Drosophila melanogaster: one gene and its partner. The protein of the gene in region 2 interacts with the protein of the main gene of each other region in a pairwise test. Each region holds a gene or a part of one and is shown on either strand. Other genes may lie near its edges.

Evidence for each region.
Region 1: the proteins of CG12822 (region 2) and CG5446 interact in a two-hybrid assay, tested with the Drosophila melanogaster proteins (one large-scale study listed by BioGRID).

What each region holds. Positions count from the first base shown.
Region 1 is NT_033779.5:12,424,839-12,431,054, forward strand, and holds CG5446 (uncharacterized protein), read right to left. Parts: upstream 2,872-6,216; 5' UTR 2,730-2,871; coding exon 2,631-2,729; intron 2,550-2,630; coding exon 2,388-2,549; 3' UTR 1,793-2,387; downstream 1-1,792. Other genes in the region: Fam92, read left to right, coding at 100-239, 291-450, 505-645, 701-1,171, 1,223-1,498; Trm1 (tRNA methyltransferase 1), read left to right, coding at 3,219-3,245, 3,305-3,759, 3,823-4,902, 4,960-5,134; CG5435 (uncharacterized protein), read right to left, coding at 5,234-5,355, 5,440-5,855, 5,909-5,949.
Region 2 is NT_033778.4:7,829,580-7,836,176, reverse strand, and holds CG12822 (uncharacterized protein), read right to left. Parts: upstream 4,007-6,597; 5' UTR 3,874-4,006; coding exon 3,812-3,873; intron 3,722-3,811; coding exon 3,535-3,721; intron 3,476-3,534; coding exon 2,486-3,475; 3' UTR 2,336-2,485; downstream 1-2,335. Other genes in the region: Atg10 (Autophagy-related 10), read right to left, coding at 1,599-1,864, 1,922-2,078, 2,144-2,239; Prosalpha1R (proteasome alpha1 subunit-related), read left to right, coding at 4,582-4,657, 4,720-4,896, 5,185-5,666; CG18853 (uncharacterized protein), read right to left, coding at 5,780-6,133, 6,196-6,585.

The DNA of each region.
Region 1 (6,216 bases), on a different chromosome or scaffold from region 2:
TTTAGACGTTGCCTTGGTAACGGTTTTCACTTGATTTTATTGTCGAAATAAAATAAATAAAGAAGGAAAACAAATATAAGGGACTAAAATAAAATAATAATGTTTCGTCGTGGAAAACTATCCTTTCTAAACACCAAAGATGACCGTGTTAAAATAATAAACGAGCGCATAAACATAACAGAAAGGCATCTAATGGAGATGTGCTCTTCGTTTGCTTTGGTAACGCGGAAAATGGCCAAGTGAGTTTGGTAAATAAATAAATCTGAATGAATAATCATAAGACCTTGCAGATATCGGGACTCCTTTGATGAGTTGGCCAAGAGTGTGAAGAGCTACGCCGACGACGAGGAAATCAACGAGAGTCTCTGTCAGGGACTGAAGAGCTTCACCAACGCGGTTACCATAATGGGTGATTACATGGACATCAATGTACACCGATTGGAACACAAGGTGAATTATCCTTTTTTAAATCTGCATCTTATATCATATTATTGACTTATGTAGATTGTCAACGAGTTGGCGCAATTCGAGCAGCTTTGCAAGTCCACAAGGGACAATCTTCGACTGGCTGTCATAGCGCGGGATAAGGAGGTACTACGTCAGCGCCAGATGCTTGAGCTCAAGTCAAAGTTTTCTGCGAACAATGTGGGTATTAAAACGAACAATTTACTTCTTATATAATTCCCAAAACTTACCGTAGAGTGCCGCCGATTCGGAGCTGTTTAAGGCCAAAATGGAGGTGCAGCGCACAAACAAGGAGATAGACGACATTATTGGCAACTTCGAGCAGCGGAAGTTGCGCGACTTAAAGCAGATAATCAGCGATTTTATACTGATCGCCATGAAACAGCACACCAAGGCATTGGAGATACTCAGCGCAAGCTACTATGATATTGGAACCATTGATGAGCGCGACGATTTCATTGAGTTTCAGAAACTCATGAAGACCAAAGAAGAGCTGGCTTCCAGGAAAACTGCACTCAAAAAGGGACTGCGCTCCCAGTCGATGGATAGCTTGGAGCACGAGCACCTGGTCAGTCCGCTCAAGAGGCGCCCGAAGTTGTCCAGGAGCAATAGGAATCTGACGGGAGCCGGAATCAATCATGGAAGTAAAACAGAACCCGAAGATGAAACCGACGAGCAGGATGAAGAGGAAGATGATGAAGATGAGGTATGATTTGGCATGATTATGGAATGATAGAATAACTCCATTCCTCCCAAGGAAACCGAGCAAAGTGGCGAAGAGGACGAGGAATCTGGAACGGCAACGGATGACGAGAGGGAACCCACGCAGCCGGGCAACCAGGTTCCTCCGCGGGAGAATGTTTTTGGGGCCAAGATCCGATCTGCCAGCAAGGATATAGCCACGCCATCGACCAGTGCCAGTGCCACTTCTGCTCCTTCGAAGCCCAGCAGACAAACGGTCAAACATCCATTCAAGGCGGTGGCCTCCACCCATGTAAGGCTGCAGAAGCAGTTCCACGTGCCCCAGCACTAGCACTCAAATTATGACCAGTAGTAGAGTTCCTAGAGCTCACATCAGTATTGCAGGCACATTCTGGAATCGTAGCAAGAGCTTAAATAAAATTGAATTAGGAACATACTTCTAAGGGTTTATCTTAATTGGTTTTTGTAACCCCGCAGTCTCAGAGCTTCCTTTCATAATTTAATCAGAATGTATTACCACTCTCTATCTCATTGCCTTAAAAAACATGATATGTAGAAGCAACACAAATTGCAATTAATATTCGAAAATCATTCTGGTCCACAAATCAATGTTGATTTTCCTTTTAAAAGTAGGGATTGTTATATAGCACTCCTTGCCATTCAGCGCTGATTTCCATACACTTTTTATTAATGGACACGGGTCACGATTTGCATTATTTGTCCCAGATAAACAATACTAAATATATGCATATCATAACTAATCAAGCGGAAATGACGCGCTTCTCTTCCCCTTTTCGCAATAAACTTTCAGGTGAGGAAACACAAATCGGGAACTGGTCGCCTGGTAACCGTTGTTAAATCGAAGTCCTGAACACCCAAATAGCAGGGAATTTACAATTCTTGAATTTTTAATTTATAAATAGAAACTAAACGGCAATAATTCAAAATTATTGGCCATTGCTCACAAAAGAATTACTTTACTTAAATTATGATGTGCCCCGACCGGGCGAAACTTAAAACTAAGCAATAAATGGATGAGCAAATGTGTTCTTTTCTTCATTTCTTGGGGAGCAGCTGGGTGCGGAGGAGATTAAATGAATGTGAGAACCTGGAATTGTAAACTTGATACGGGTGACTGGGTGCCAGGTGTTCGATGTATGTATCTAATGGTATTGGGATGCACTTTCCGAATGGGCGTGGCCGTGCCAGCGCTACGGATCTCATTTCTCCGGTCCCTGACCCTCGATCCCGGCCTGGTTCATCAGATCCGCAATGCTCTTCTCCAGATCGTCGATGCGGTTGCCCATGTCATCGATGCGCGTTATTATCTGGTCCGACATCGTCTGGAACTTGTCCTGAACGTTCTGCAACAGATTTTGTACCTGATAACAGGAGGCAGGTTTACTGGGTGCTCATTTGGTGTCTCTATTTACTGGGTGGTTCCCGGTTCGGGCATTACTCACGTATATGGTCAGCTCCTGCATGTTTTTGGGGTCCGCATTGCTGTTCAGGGAGTAGTTCTGGTCCAGATCGCTGTCCATCTCGTTGCGCAGATCGGTCATTCTGTGGCTTCTTTGTGGCACTGTATAAAAGTACAAAAATGCTATCACTTCTAGCTCTTTTGCTTCTGTTTGCGGCTGCGGCTGTTTCACTTCTGCAAATTAATTTCTTTATCAAGCATAGGGGCGGACTTTGGTTCGATAGTCCTTTCGATAATCCTGGTGGTGGCAAAGTAGCTAGCTTCAAGTTTTATTTTCCAGTCATATTTAATGTCAATTTATTATTTTAATTTATTTTAATCTTTAAATAATTCAAATAAATATTAAGAACCATTTTTATTCAACATCATTTTATGGGATGTATTATTACAGAGAATATACCCAAATTGTAAATTTTGAAACTAAATTAAACTTAAATATAATTCTGTAATGTTTATTTCGTATTTCATATAAAAAACAACAAATTTGTGTATATTTTTAGTTTTAAAGCTTAATAGCTAGTAGCTTACGTTTTTCAACACTGCCCCACGTGTATTCTTTTAACTCATCCAAATGGAAGTGGACGAGGAAAAGCCGCAGGTTCTTAAAGAAAAACACATTATAAATAAACCACATTAAGCTAAGCATTACGATTGCAGATTATTGCTGAAAATCCCAACGAAAACGTGATACGCGAACGTAATGCGGAGATCGTTTCCGGCGGCAATGTGTTCTACAATCCTGTCCAGGAATTCAATCGAGATCTGAGCATTGCTGCTCTGAATGTTTATCGACAGAGATTGACCAAGGAGCGGAGCGAAAAGGCGCTCAAAAAGCAGCGGAAGAAGGTCAAGGAACAGGAGGATGAGAAGACCACTCCCGTTCCCGAGGATCCACCTGTTTATGAGGCCGGTACTCGATATGAGGATGGACTTCGGATCCTGGAGGCACTGGCAGCCACCGGTTTGCGTAGCATCCGTTACGCGCAGGAAATCGCCGGTGTACGCCAGATCGTGGCCAACGATCTTTCCCGCCAGGCAGTGGCCTCGATCAACACAAACATCCGGCACAACAAGGTGGAGGAGCTGATCGAGCCCAGTCACTCCGATGCAATGTAGGTTTATAATTAAGCTATTGGCACACGGTATAAAATGGGGCATTCCAATACATCGTACAGGACCCTCATGTATCTTTCGACGCAACCCGAGAAGCGTTTTGATGCAGTTGACTTGGATCCGTACGGATGTCCCAATCGCTTTTTGGATGGCGCTATGCAGTGCCTGGTGGACGGCGGCCTGCTGCTGGTGACAGCCACCGACATGGCCGTGCTGGCCGGAAATGCTCCGGAAGCTTGCTATGTAAAATACGGATCGGTTCCGCTGCGGATGAAGTGCTGTCACGAGATGGCATTGCGCATTTTGCTGCACTGCATCGAGAGCCACGCGAACAGGTACGGCAAGTACATCGAACCACTACTGAGCATATCAGCGGACTTTTACATCCGGATATTTGTGCGTGTGTACGTCGGCCAGGCCCAATGCAAGCTGTCGATGAGCAAGCAGTCTTGGATATACCAATGCACCGGATGTGAGACCTTCACGCTGCAGCCCTTGGGCATAACCAAGCCAAATCCCACGGCTGGTAATCCCCAGCAGCTGAAGTTCGGAATTCCCACTGGTCCGGCGGTCAACTCGCAGTGCGAACATTGCGGTCACAGGCATCATCTGGGTGGACCCATCTGGTCGGCACCGATTCATAACCCCGAATTTGTGCAGGATCTTTTAACGGCGGTCCAGGAGACCACCTTGCAATCGCTGGGAACCCAGAGACGAATCGTTGGAGTTCTTTCCATGGTCCAAGAGGAGCTGCAGGATGTTCCCCTTTACTACACGCCGGACAAACTGTGCTGTGTGCTCAAGCTAGAAATCGTGCCCATGCTAAAGTTCCGGTCTGCTATTCTCCACGCTGGCTATCGAGTCTCATACTCGCATGCCTCGAAGAATTCGTTGAAAACCAATGCTCCACCAGCGGTGCTATGGGACATTCTGCGCAGCTGGAGCAAGCGACATCCGGTAAATCCCGAAAGGATGATTCCTGGATCTCCACTGGCGGCCATACTTTCGAAAGAATGCACTGCTGTCTACGAGTTCGATGAACTCCATCCGGAGGCGAACCCGAAGAGTCGCAAATCGGCATTATCGCGCTTCCAAGAGAATCCGACTCCACATTGGGGACCTGGAACCAGAGCCACTATTATGTAAGCTAAGTAATCGAGCCACCCACTTTCGCATACTAAATTCCCATCCAATTTCAGGATTGGTGACAACAAACTACCCAAGAGCTATCGTAACCAGAACAAGAAACAGCGTCACAAAGCGTCGGAGCAACAGGCGGAGGATGACCAACAGGACACTCCACAAGCAGTGGATGAGTATGATGGAGATGTGGAGCACCTGCCCAAGCAGCCCAAGCTGGAGGCGACTGCGTGACGACTGCTTCTGTGTCCCAAATTTATTTCCAATAATGTTTGTAAAACCCAAAACGCAAAATGGTATTCTTTCTGGGAAAGCAAACACAGATTTGTGGAACTAATAGCGGAAGAAGTTGCCGTCGGAGGTCTGGCGCGAGAATCCATTGTTCACCAGCTGGTTGTGGACACCGCTGCAAATGAGCTTTACGCTGTGCGGATGAATCTTTTCTTTACAACCGCCTGCAACAATATGATTAGATTCGAAGTGGGTGTTACTTAAAATGCGTCGAGAACTTTAGGTTTGTACCAATTTTGTGATCTTACCTATGCGAAGTGGATGACCCAATACGTCCTCCTGCTTGCGCCGAATGAAGCGCGTGTTGCGCAACACCCGAAATGATTTGAGTTGGGAACCAATTTCCTTGGCCGCCCCAGGAGCTGACCAGCTACTTATGGCGCGGCACGTCTCCCTCTGCATCACGTAGTCCACCTTGTCCGGAAATGCTTCGCGGGTGTGATCGTAGCGCGACTGCAGCGAAAAGTCCAGCGTATCCTTCGGGATGTTCGGATTGGCACGGTACCGCTTGCTCGAGCGCACCGAGTTCATCGTTTGATGATAGAAGAGCCGCTGATACGGCTCCAGATGGCCATGCCAGGTGCCCGGTTTCAGATGGGCCTCCGGCAGCGGGGGCTCTGGAAAAGAGCACACATAGGTGCCCTCCGTATGCAGTTCCGGCTGCCTGAGAGCACACAATAGTCATCTTGAGCCAAGTCGGGCATAACTAAAGCTTACCATGATACATTCTTGATCTGCACAGTATCGTACTGAATCATCTTTGCAGGAGAAACCAATATAATTTAGATGAAAGTGTAAAAGGGTTTCTGAATCGTATTCAGAAGGACTTGGGTATATGTGATTTTGCCTTCGGTTTCCCGGCAACTGCTTTGTCAATATACCCCCCGACTACCATGTTTCTCGGGAGTCAATAGAAACCGAAACATAATGGATGGATGTTCTGGGCATCCGAAGATACTAGATCTTTCTTTACAATATTCCAAGATACATATATGTTTTAAAACCCCATTTCAACCAATTAATAA
Region 2 (6,597 bases):
TAGAACCAACTCACATATCATTGATTTCCGACTCGAGATTTTGCATTTGAGCAGCACTCCGCCACTGAACTACGAACTTTACTTGTTTTTTTTTTTATTTTTGGTAATTTATATTGTATATAGCGAAACAAATGTAACTTGGCATGATGCAAGTGTCAACTAAATGGTGCAGCTTTAAACGAAATTTTATATATGAACACATATATTGAGATGACACAAACCGGATGTTGAACAATACATACATAGCATATATATTTCGTATAGTCGTATATGTTTGTTAAGTGCCAATAAGGTCCTCACAAATACAATACTCATAGAAGAATACCCTGTCCCAAGCCTTTTCTCACCCCCATCAGTAAATTTAACCGCCCAGGAAAAATTTCAAATCGAAAAACCACATTCCAAGCATTTCCCAGACCACGTGTACATTTTTAGACGCAAAGCACGAAGTAGTGCAAATCTGGTAAAGTGAAATCACCAATAATCTTGTTTGTTAAACGTAGTATCCCTAGAATCAAATAACTACTAGCTGATAGTTATTGAATGGCACGAAACCAAAGAGCACTATTTTTGAATTATTAGGTAATATGAGAGGCACTGCTCAGATGGAATGTTAATTGGATATACTCGCAATATAATATGTGTCCTTCGAATCGTTACTCCCCCTAAGTAGTTCGGAATATTAAAGCTTACTTCGAAGACTAACCATAGTTTTTACAAACACTTCACACCTAATGTTATGGAGCGCGTCGAGATATCCTAGCCATTTTCCGAGTCCAAATTGAGTTCTCCTCGTACGTGCCATCCTAACCGACCTTAGACTTCCTCAGCAGGATATCCGCACTGCACACGATTAATCCTTAATGTACGTGGACTCTTGTATACTGTCGAACTACTATTGCAAACCAACGTAATATACATAAAAGTCGATTTAATTTTGCAAATAAACATTTTCAATGCGATTCCCCGCGCCCACGAGTCCTCGGTTCCGCATGGAACACGGGGTTTTGGTGCCAGCGCCGGGACGCCGCTAATGCCACACAGTAGCCAGTTAACATTAATTATAAATGAACCACTTAATATTAGTAAAATGCAAAGCAAAGCGGCTCAGCAAGGCCACGCTTGTGTACAGTACAACTAGATGTAAGCGTATACCTGTCTAATGTTAAATCGAAGTAATCGAAAAGTAGCTACTAGTTGATATTAGCCGAGAAAAAATAACGAAAATAGCAAGTGGAACTTGAAAACTATACACTACGTTAAGCGATAAATAATGCCTAAGTAGTTGAATGTATTCACTAAGCGGAGTTATAACCTGTGTACAAAGCTGGGTTCCTTTCGTAACTTCATTAGTTTTTCATTTTTAACTTAAATTATCCATGTGATGTGCTGCTTCAGGTGTCATGTCACATGGTACGACCCTGTGCCCCATGGATCTTCACTTGTGCCAAGAACTGGTGGCGATGGGGTCCCCAGTTAAGGTGTAACCACTCTAAAATAGGGAACGAAATGTAAAACTGTAAAAGGGCATAAGCCATATTATCCATACATGTATACTCCTATAACCAGTGTTTAAAAAAACCACCAATAAATTCAAATTACGTATACTCTTGGCTTAAGCCGTACGCATTTTGCAGGTGCAACTGCACGTGGGGTCCGTACAGACTGATGAAGGTAAGCACCTGGTTGCAGCTGGGCTTTCCGAACTGCTTTAGCACTTCGGCGGTGCGGCATGGATGCAATGCCATAAAGGGTCTGAAAAGCACCGGGTGATCCATCTGGGTGAGTATCTGGTGGAGATCGCTGGCCTTCGATTCGGGCATGAACATTCGCCAAGTGGCCTCCACATCCAAAAGACTTCCATCTACGATAAGTGGATTTATTTTCACATCTAGTGAGATTTTGTAAAATATGTAAATACCTGATCTGTGTGCCTGGAAGAACAACATTGGTACTTGATAGGAAACACTGAAGACCACATGGTACTCCACACTAACCAACTCAGCCGAGTTGTCCTTGCCACCTCGGCATTTAATCTTCTGACTACATTTGAGATAGGTGTTTGGTTCATTCGAGTCCTTAATTGGGATGGAAAACGTATTAAATAATTAGCCCGAATTATAAAATCCGCACTGCGAGATACCTTTTGTTCCAATATCCAATTATCACCCAACTTCTGCGAAATTTCGAGGAACTGCTTGGCCTGGCTCAAAAAATCTTTCCAGCTCAAGTCGCCCATAATGCTGAAAATAAAGCACAAAAATATGCGTGTTAAAATCTTTAAACACTTCAAATACCCACGCGTAACGATACTTGAAAGAAAACAATTTCTTTTGCGTGGGAAACAAGCCTCATACATATATTTAAGAATGTCCTGTATTCTAGAGCAAAATTGAAACGCCAAAGGTTAAAGCTCCTCAACACAATACACTTAAGCTTAACACAAATCGTCAATTAACGAATATCAATTGCAATAATCCATAAGTTAGGCGCTGCGCAGGTCGCCGTCCAGGGCGGTAACCTGGACATTCTCGTTGCGCCGGACCTGAACCACAGTCACCGTGCCGGCCTTGTCATCAAATTTGCACGTCACCGTGACCTCCCGCAGCTGGAAGGTAAATATTTGCGAGCCATATTTTGTGCGCAAGTAAACGGAGCGCGGATCCGCCTCCAGAATGTCCACGATGCACTGCTTCTCCACCTGCAGCTCCTTTAACTGCGCCTCGGCATGCTCGTTAAAGGTCACGCTAAGTCTATTGCTGGCCACCACCCAGTTGGGCACTCGCACGGCGCTGGGTGGCGGCAGAATAGCGTCAGCTCCAATGCCCGCGTTCCCGCTGTAGCCAGCTGCTCCATACAGTTCCAGGTCCGATTCCTCTCCGTCAGGCTCCTGTCTGGAGTCGTAGAAGTCCAGGCTGCTCTCATGCGGTCCAACAGAGGTTCTTCCTGTCCGGGGCAAGAACTTTAGTTGCATTTCTGCTTGATTCTCGTCCAACGTACCTGAGTCAACGCTCAAGGATGGTGCATCGTAGTGTGGAATGTAGGGCTTAATGTCCAACACGGGTGTGCCGTCTACCATGTCCGTACCAAAGAAACTAATGGTGGCGTTCTCGATCTTCTCAATCTCCACCAACGAGAGACCAATGGGACACGGGCGGTGTGGAGATCGTGTGGAAAACACACCCACCCGCTCCCCACCAAGACGGGGAGGCGCCACCTTGGCCTTGGGGTGGGAATTGTTGCGGTGAAAATGATAGATGAGCCACAGATGGGAAAAGTCCTCTAGTCCCTCCAAGGAGTGCTCCGGATTGGTGAACACACCGTCGTTCAGTTGGATGATACCCCGCAGGCGACTGCCCACAATTGACTGCCTCGGCACGGCCCGCTTCTCTGGGAATGCTGTCCGGATCACTCCTATGGGCCGAAAGTGTGCGTAGTCCTCTCCCAAGCAGTGCCCACCATTGGTATAATTGCTCTAAGGATTGGGTGCGAGGTTTGTATGTGTCTTTCAGTGTGTGGGAGGGTCAAACGCACCTGACCTTGGCCCGTCTGCTGGTCCTGCGTCTGCTGTTGGTGCTGGTGCTCCTGCTTCTCGCCGGCGACCTTGTCCTTGGCGCTTTTGTTGTTGTTCGCACACCCCTCGCAGCGGAAGTCCTGCAGCAGGCGGGTTATCGTCTCAATGTCCTTGCGCTGCACATGCTGCAGGTTGCGCACTTGCTGCCTGCATCATGGTCAAGGCAAAATCGGTGTGAACTTGAACTATACCAGTAGCAAAAGGACACTCATGGCAATTTGCCTGTCTCAAACGCACCTGAGATTGTTGATCTCGTTCCGCGCGATGGTCAACTGACTCTTCAGATCATCCTCGTGCATTTTCGCTGCCGGCAACGCGCACTTGACTCCCAAATAATCCGCAATTGCAGCGTTCTCCGCTGTTATTGACCAATATTTACCTCGATTCTCAATGGTTACATCCAGCTAGAGTTGGCCATCACTTACGCACGGCACCGCGACGTTATCGATTGTCGATAGGTTCACCTGTGCTTAGTTACGGCCAACTGCCTTAATTCCAGTTAGATTTAGCTTGCGCTCAATAGCTTTTTTTACAAACATTTTCTTAAGAAATAACGTTGTAAGCCTCAACAAAAATTATATAAGATAACGTTACTGAGCAGTAAAAGTTTTGTCTTCAATTTACATATGTTTGTTAATATTTTTTTTTACAAATCCCTTTGCTCTATGTTGACTAATTTACAATAATTCACAAATAAAAATAGGAATAATTTAAACATTTTGTAAGCGTAGCTTAACACTATTTTGGCTTTTTCCAAATATTCGATTTCAATGATAAACGATATATCCCAGCGCGCGTTTCTTTTTGGTATTTTTTAGGTTCATTTTCGGGCTGAGAATGACAATCTGAATTTTGCACAGTAGGTTCGATTTGAAGCGACATTTTCCCTGCTATATACAAATTTGTAAATTTTAATTGTTCAAAAGGTGTGTTGCTTGCGGCAGACTTGAGAACTGAATTTTAACCGGCGTTGTCTATTGCAGCTATCGAAGCACGAAGAAAGCATCATGTCTCGCGGAAGTTCAGCCGGCTTTGACAGACACATCACGATCTTCTCTCCGGAGGGACGCCTCTACCAAGTGGGTTAGTATCCTGGCACTTGCGGCTCCATTGTATCCAGTCTGACATTCTCATTTCCCCGCCAGAGTACGCCTTCAAGGCTATTGCCCAGGAGAACATCACCACGGTGGCGCTGAAGAGTGGCGACTGTGCCGTGGTGGCCACCCAAAAAAAAGTGACCGAGAAGAACATCGTGCCTGAAACGGTGACCCACCTGTTCCGCATCACCAAGGACATTGGATGCGCAATGACCGGACGCATAGGTATGAACCATAGATACTTTAAATTCTTGTTTATCCCGGCGTGATTCGAGTCAAATTCCAGTCGAGTTAGCACAGAGTTATCCCATTGTTGATATGTCCCATGTAACCAAGTAGCGATTCACTTATGATTGTGCTAAAATCAGAAGAAATAGCCTGCCAGACATTAGGGCAAAGGCGTATAGCGTGGAGCCATTTTAAACGTAGTTTTCACACGGTGCTTCAACTAGAAAAGAGGACATATCAACCCAAGAGTGTCACTAAATACTTAAAATTATTTCTCTCCCCTAGCTGATTCCCGCTCACAGGTGCAGAAGGCCAGATACGAGGCCGCCAACTTCCGCTACAAGTACGGCTACGAAATGCCCGTGGATGTGCTGTGTCGTCGAATTGCGGATATCAACCAGGTGTACACGCAGAATGCCGAGATGCGTCCGCTCGGCTGCAGCATGGTGCTGATCGCTTACGACAATGAAATCGGCCCCAGCGTTTACAAGACGGACCCGGCTGGCTACTTCAGCGGGTTCAAGGCCTGCAGCGTGGGTGCCAAGACTCTGGAGGCCAACAGCTATCTGGAAAAGAAGTACAAGCCCAACTTGTCGGAGGAGAAAGCGATCCAGCTGGCCATCTCCTGTCTGTCCAGTGTGCTCGCTATAGACTTCAAGCCGAACGGCATTGAGATCGGCGTGGTCAGCAAGTCTGATCCCACTTTCCGTATTTTGGATGAGCGGGAGATCGAGGAACACCTCACCAAGATCGCCGAGAAGGACTAAGTTCTGTCCCGCTAGCTGTAATTTTGTCATATTTTATAAAGCCTCTTGGATCTATGGTTAAATAAAAAATGCTCTTGGCTTGCATTCAAAACAAAGGCAAATCCGAAAACGTTTTATTTCTTCTTGTGCACCTTACCGCCGTATCGCATGACAAAGGCATTTACATCGAATTTGCGACGGCATCCCTGATAGTTCATGTACCTAACCTTACCGAAGATAGCCCGCTCCTTCCAGCCCATGTCATGGACGCCGCCAATGGACCACATGCAGCCCACATAGCCGTTGGGGTCGCGACCATCCAGACTGTACTTGTCGTTCAGCAGGATTGCGTACTCCAACGCATGCTCCGGTGTCGCTGTCCATTCCAGAATCTTTTTGGCCCAGTACATGCGCAAAAAGCCGTGCATCTTTCCCTCGCGTACCAGCTGCAGTTGCGCCGAGTTCCACAGGTCGTCATAAGTGAGAGACTAGGAAAAAATTATAAAATCATTTTAGTCTCAAATCAAAAGAAAAAGAATCCGTGGTGAACCTTTTCTAGTTCTTCTAAGCTGTAGCAGGGATCTCGCTTGTCCTTGCGATGTGCATCTAGCGTTTGATATGCCCAAGAACTTAGACCTTTAAGACTATCATAGTGCTCGTTGTAGAAGCAAAAGTTATCCGCCTTGGCCTTGGGGTGGGAATTGTTGCGGTGAAAATGATAGATGAGCCACAGATGGGAAAAGTCCTCTAGTCCCTCCAAGGAGTGCTCCGGATTGGTGAACACACCGTCGTTCAGTTGGATGATACCCCGCAGGCGACTGCCCACAATTGACTGCCTCGGCACGGCCCGCTTCTCTGGGAATGCTGTCCGGATCACTCCTATGGGCCGAAAGTGTGCGTAGTCCTCTCCCAAGCAGTGCCCACCATTGGTATAATTGCTCTAAGGATTGGG